Xenopus tropicalis: one gene and its partner. The protein of the gene in region 1 purifies or fractionates together with the protein of each later gene. This does not show direct contact. Links are inferred from orthologs where the notes say so. Each region holds a gene or a part of one and is shown on either strand. Other genes may lie near its edges.

What was found.
Region 2: the proteins of lzts3 (region 1) and dyrk1a purify together in Homo sapiens (affinity purification with mass spectrometry; 3 studies listed by BioGRID and IntAct, with this or other methods). This does not show direct contact. The link is inferred for Xenopus tropicalis from reciprocal best matches to the Homo sapiens genes LZTS3 and DYRK1A.

The regions. Positions count from the first base shown.
Region 1 is NC_030677.2:12,570,573-12,574,891, reverse strand, and holds the start of lzts3 (leucine zipper putative tumor suppressor 3), read left to right. Parts: upstream 1-1,408; 5' UTR 1,409-1,647; intron 1,648-4,319. UniProt on the Homo sapiens protein: May be involved in promoting the maturation of dendritic spines, probably via regulating SIPA1L1 levels at the postsynaptic density of synapses.
Region 2 is NC_030678.2:12,495,276-12,497,754, reverse strand, and holds part of dyrk1a (dual specificity tyrosine-phosphorylation-regulated kinase 1A), read left to right. Parts: intron 1-1,118; coding exon 1,119-1,727; 3' UTR 1,728-2,479. UniProt on the Homo sapiens protein: Dual-specificity kinase which possesses both serine/threonine and tyrosine kinase activities. Exhibits a substrate preference for proline at position P+1 and arginine at position P-3.

The DNA of each region.
Region 1 (4,319 bases):
GTTATATCAAGGTACAGAGTGTGGGGGAGGGGCAGAGCCATGAGAGGCAGGTTACAGGGTGCAGGGAGTTATATCAAGGTACCGAGTGTGGGGGAGGGGCAGGTCCATGAGAGGCAGGTTACAGGGTGCGGGGAGTTATATCAAGGTACATAGAGTGGGGGAGGGGCAGAGCCATGAGAGGCAGGTTACAGGGTGCGGGGAGTTATATCAAGGTACAGAGAGTGGGGGAGGGGCAGACCCATGAGAGGCAGGTTACAGGGTGCGGGGAGTTATATAAAGGTACAGAGAGTGGGGGAGGGGCAGGTCCATGAGAGGCAGGTTACAGGGTGCGGGGAGTTATATCAAGGTACAGAGAGTGGGGGAGGGGCAGAGCCATGAGAGGCAGGTTACAGGGTGCAGGGAGTTATATCAAGGTACCGAGTGTGGGGGAGGGGCAGGTCCATGAGAGGCAGGTTACAGGGTGCGGGGAGTTATATCAAGGTACAGAGTGTGGGGGAGGGGCAGGTCCATGAGAGGCAGGTTACAGGGTGCAGGGAGTTATATCAAGGTACAGAGAGTGGGGGAGGGGCAGAGCCATGAGAGGCTGGTTACAGGGTGCAGGGAGTTATATCAAGGTACAGAGAGCGGGGGAGGGGCAGAGCCATGAGAGGCAGGTTACAGGGTGTAGGGAGTTATATCAAGGTACAGAGAGCGGGGGAGGGGCAGAGCCATGAGAGGCAGGTTACAGGGTGCAGGGAGTTATATCAAGGTACAGGGAGTGGGGGAGGGGCAGGTCCATGAGAGGCAGGTTACAGGGTGCAGGGAGTTATATCAAGGTACAGGGAGTGGGGGAGGGGCAGGTCCATGAGAGGCAGGTTACAGGGTGCGGGGAGTTATATCAAGGTACAGGGAGTGGGGGAGGGGCAGGTCCATGAGAGGCAGGTTACAGGGTGCGGGGAGTTATATCAAGGTACAGAGAGTGGGGGAGGGGCAGAGCCATGAGAGGCAGGTTACAGGGTGCGGGGAGTTATATCAAGGTACAGAGAGTGGGGGAGGGGCAGAGCCATGAGAGGCAGGTTACAGGGTGCAGGGAGTTATATCAAGGTACAGAGAGCGGGGGAGGGGCAGAGCCATGAGAGGCAGGTTACAGGGTGCAGGGAGTTATATCAAGGTACAGAGAGCGGGGGAGGGGCAGAGCCATGAGAGGCAGGTTACAGGGTGCAGGGAGTTATATCAAGGTACAGAGAGTGGGGGAGGGGCAGAGCCATGAGAGGCAGGTTACAGGGTGCAGGGAGTTATATCAAGGTACAGAGAGCGGGGGAGGGGCAGAGCCATGAGAGGCAGGTGCTGACCCGGTGGGGGGAGTGGCCAGGGACCGCTGGGCGGGGCAGAGGGCGGAGCGCCAATCACACTGACAGACCGATGCTCTCGGTGGCACAGCTGGCAGATCGGTGCGATTGAGCCCCTCCCCCAGTAGCACAGCCCAGACTGACAGGGAGCGGAGGGAGGAGAGACAGTCTGGGCATCTCACAGCCGGGAGCGCCACCATGTCCCGGGGAGTCACCCCCAGCCGCTAAACCTTCCCCCCAGCCCCCGGCAATGAGCCCATCTGCCCCCGCCCCGGGCTGCTGCAGGGAAGATGCCGGCCCCAAGCCCCAGCACTGGCAGGTAAGTGTCTCCTCCGGGATCGGCACAAACACACAGCCGCACTGCAGCACTGCCCCCCCTCCTACTGGCACTGCCCCCCCCCTACTGGCACTGCCCCCCCCCTACTGGCACTGCCCCCCCTACTGCACTGCCCCCCCCTACTGGCACTGCCCCCCCCCTACTGGCACTGCCCCCAGCTACTGGCACTGCCCCCCAGCTACTGGCACTGCCCCCCTACTGGCACTGCCCCCCCTACTGGCACTGCCCCCCCCTACTGGCACTGCCCCCCCCTACTTGGCCCTGCCCCCCCTACTGAGCCGCCCCCCCCTACTTGGCACTGCCCCCCCCCCCTACTGGCACTGCCCCCCTACTGGCACTGCCCCCCCTACTGGCACTGCCCCCCCCTACTGGCACTGCCCCCCCTACTGCACTGCCCCCCCCTACTGGCACTGCCCCCCCCCGCTACTGGCACTGCCCCCCCTACTGGCACTGCCCCCCAGCTACTGGCACTGCCCCCCTACTGGCACTGCCCCCCCTACTGGCACTGGCCCCCCCTACTGGCACTGCCCCCCCTACTGGCACTGCCCCCCTACTGGCACTGCCCCCGCTACTGCACTGCCCCCCCTACTGGCACTGCCCCCCCCTACTGGCACTGCCCCCCCAGCTACTGGCACTGCCCCCCAGCTACTGGCACTGCCCCCCCCCTACTGGCACTGCCCCCCCCAGCTACTGGCACTGCCCCCCCAGCTACTGGCACTGCCCCCCCAGCTACTGGCACTGCCCCCCCCAGCTACTGGCACTGCCCCCCCCTACTGGCACTGCCCCCCCCAGCTACTGGCACTGTGTCCCCCCCCCAGCTACTGGCACTGCCCCCCCCCCAGCTATTGGCACTGCCCCCCAGCTACTGGCACTGCCCCCCCAGCTACTGGCACTGCCCCCCCAGCTACTGGCACTGCCCCTCCAGCTACTGGCAACTGCCCCCCAGCTACTGGCACTGCCCCCCAGCTACTGGCACTGCCCCCCCAGCTACTGGCACTGCCCCCCCCCAGCTACTGGCACTGCCCCCCCCCTACTGGCACTGCCCCCCCCAGCTACTGGCACTGCCCCCCCAGCTACTGGCACTGGCCCCCCCTACTGGCACTGCCCCCCCAGCTACTGGCACTGCCCCCCCCAGCTACTGGCACTGCCCCCCCCCTACTGGCACTGCCCCCCCCAGCTACTGGCACTGCCCCCCTACTGGCACTGCCCCCCCCTACTGGCACTGCCCCCCCAGCTACTGGCACTGCCCCCCCCAGCTACTGGCACTGCCCCCCCACTGGCACTGCCCCCCCTACTGGCACTGCCCCCCCAGCTACTGGCACTGCCCCCCCCAGCTACTGGCACTGCCCCCCCCGCTACTGGCACTGCCCCCCCCAGCTACTGGCACTGCCCCCCCCAGCTACTGGCACTGCCCCCCAGCTACTGGCACTGTGTCCCCCCCCAGCTACTGGCACTGCCCCCCCAGCTACTGGCACTGTGTCCCCCCCCCAGCTACTGGCACTGCCCCCCCCAGCTATTGGCACTGCCCCCCAGCTACTGGCACTGCCCCCCCCAGCTACTGGCACTGCCCCCTCCAGCTACTGGCACTGCCCCCCAGCTACTGGCACTGCCCCCAGCTACTGGCACTGCCCCCCCCCCAGCTACTGGCACTGCCCCACCTAGCTACTGTCACTGCCCCCCAGCTATTGTCACTGCCTCCCCCAGCTACTGGCACTGTCTCCCCCAGCAATAGGCACTGCCACCCCAGCTACTGGCACTGCCCCCCCCCGCATGGGACCCGGGGGGTACATATTCCTAAACTGGCACCTACGGGCACACCTAGGCTTCACCTTTAACATTTATATGGCTGTATCCCTCCTACATATCTCTCCCTCCTATATACATCCCCCCCAGCCCTGTATCCCTCCTATATACATCCCCCCAGCCCTGTATCCCTCCTATATACATCCCCCCCCAGCCCTGTATCCCTCCTATACACATCCCCCCCAGCCCTGTATCCCTCCTATATACATCCCCCCCAGCCCTGTATCCCTCGTATACACATCCCCCCAGCCCTGTATCCCTCCTATACACATCCCCCCCAGCCCTGTATCCCTCCTATATACATCCCCCCCCAGCCCTGTATCCCTCGTATACACATCCCCCCCAGCCCTGTATCCCTCCTATATACATCTCCCCCCAGCCCTGTATTCCTCCTATATACATCTCCCCCCAGCCTTGTATCCCTCCTATATACATCTCCCCTAGCCCTGTATCCCTCCTATATACATCCCCCCAGCCCTGTATCCCTCCTATATACATCCCCCCAGCCCTGTATCCCTCCTATATACATCCCCCCCAGCCTTGTATCCCTCCTATATACATCCCCCCAGCCCTGTATCCCTCCTATATACATCCCCCCAGCCCTGTATCCCTCCTATACACATCCCCCCCAGCACTGTATCCCTCCCATATACATCCCCCCTAGCCCTGTATCCCTCCTATATACATCCCCCCAGCCCTGTATCCCTCCTATATACATCCCCCCCAGCCCTGTATCCCTCCTATACACATCCCCCCCAGCACTGTATCCCTCCCATATACATCCCCCCTAGCCCTGTATCCCTCCTATATACATCTCCCCCCAGCCCTGTATTCTCTTATGTACATCTCCC
Region 2 (2,479 bases), on another chromosome or scaffold:
ACAAAGATTTGTCATGGGGCAACTAATCTCCCCGTGTACCCCTGCCCTTAAGCTTTATATATATTTCCAATATATTTTATTGTAAATTAGAAAGCACAGAGGGCATTTACAAACCGGATTGACATCTAGGTACTAAGTCTAGTGACGGGCGAAATTCGTCAGGCATGGATTTGCAGTGAATTTCCATGTTTCGCCATTGGAGGATTATTTTGCAAAACAGGCGACAAAATTCACTGCGTAAAAATTCTGTGCTCTACAAAAAATTTTCGACCACGTTGCAAAAAATTTCCGCACGTGGAAAAAAATGACACTAGTAATGTCCTCTCCATTAACGACAGAATGATTGTGCCCCAGCCTTTGGCACTTTAGTGTTGGTCATAACCAGAGCATTATGCTGGGCTACAGGGTCAATTACATGGGAAGCTCACTAGCCATAGTTGTTTTCATGTATTTAAAACTTCAGATTTAGTAGATATTGACTGTCCCTGCAGAGGGATAATGGGCCAGTCCACTGGTAAGTGTGTGATTGCTGTTTATCAAATCCTTGCTCAGGGCCACTAACAATGGGTGCTTTTTGGGGTGGTTGCATGGCAGCCCTGGGGGTTTTGTGTCTTTATATTCGGTGCTTTAGTCACCATTCCAGTTACTGCATGACCTGTTCTGGCACTGACCCGAAGAAGCTCAGGTACCTGTGTAAGTGCAGATGTAGAACCATGGTTTCCTAAACAGTCTTTATCTTCAACAAGAGCCCAAAAAGAAGGGTTATTGCAGGACTTGTTTTCTTCTCCCTCTAGTTTTATATAATAATATTTATGTTATTTGTAGCACTAAACAGTACAGAACAGAGACACTGAAAGCACTTTCATTTGACATTGATCCCATTTGGCCTTCCCAGCCAATCACCCTTTATTATGAACTTCCTCTCTGTAGACCCAGGAGACAGCCAACCACTGGGGGAAATCTTAAGGTTTTATATTATACAGATCATTATTTCCAAGGCTTAGGTAGTGTTTAAAAATAAAACCAAGAAAAAAAAACAATGACTTTATTTCCTGTGCTGTGTAGGGAGCTGTATATGTGCATTTATCTGTGTTTTAACCTTTTTTTCCCTTCCTTAGGTTCGACAACAGTTTCCTCCTGGTTGGACCGTCCCTGAAGCCCCTACGCAGGTCACCATTGAAACACACCCTGTCCAAGAAACAACATTTCATGTCCCCCCTTCCCAGCAAAATGTACCGCATCACCATGGGAATGGCTCCCACCACCATCACCACCACCATCATCACCACCACGGACAGCATGTCTTGAGTAACAGGACGAGGACCAGGATCTACAATTCTCCATCAACTAGCTCCTCCACCCAGGATTCTATGGATGTCGGTCACAGCCACCACTCCATGACATCCTTGTCTTCCTCAACTACTTCTTCCTCAACATCTTCCTCTTCTACTGGCAACCAAGGCAATCAGGCCTACCAGAATCGTCCTGTGGCTGCTAACACCTTGGACTTTGGACAGAATGGAACTATGGATGTTAATTTAACTGCCTTTTCAAACCCTCGCCAAGAGACTGGCATCACTGGACATCCAGATTACCAATATTCTGCAAATACAGGCCCCGGCCACTACGTAACGGAAGGACACTTAACGATGAGGCAAGGGATGGACCGAGAAGACTCTCCCATGACAGGAGTTTGTGTTCAGCAGAGTCCTGTGGCAAGCTCGTGACTAAATTCAATCTAGGTTTGTTTGGTTTTTTTTTTTTTTGTGTGTGGGTTTGTTTTCTCTCTTTTTTTTTATTTTTTTTTATTTTTCCTTTTGTTTTATTTGTTTTTAGAAGTTTTTTTTTTTCCAAGAAAAAAAAACTAAAAAAAAAAAAAAAACAAAAGCAAAAACAAAAAAAAAAGTGCAAAAGCTGCTTTAATCAGAAGGAGATAAACACACTTAAACCGCTACAACAGGGAAAAGCTGACTATTTTTTTAAACTTGAAAAAAAAAAACAAAAACAAAACGATTGCAAAGGGACAATGAAGTGAAACGATTTTTATTTTTTTAACGAGCTGTTTCCAAACACACCTTATTGGATAGCTCCGAGGTAATTTCCTCTCCCTTTTGCTTCCCAACCCCCGCCCCACCCTTCCCCACCCATTAAACTCTGTACACTCGTATCATAATAATTTTATAAAATGATATATATATGTATTTGTATATACATATATATTTATATATTTTAACCATAGTAAGTTATACTGAACATAGTCAGTTGCCAACATGATAAAAAGCAACATTATCAAAAACAAACAAAAAAATGCACCTCTTTGGGTCCCCTCGGGGGGGCTTAATGGTCCATCGAAACTTGGGCACAGATATGCAGTACTGTAAGAGAGAGGAACCTTCGACCTCCTAAACACACAAACCATAGTCAAAGGGACGGGTGTCACACACAGTCAACTTGCTAAGATGGCGGTCAACGTGCTAAG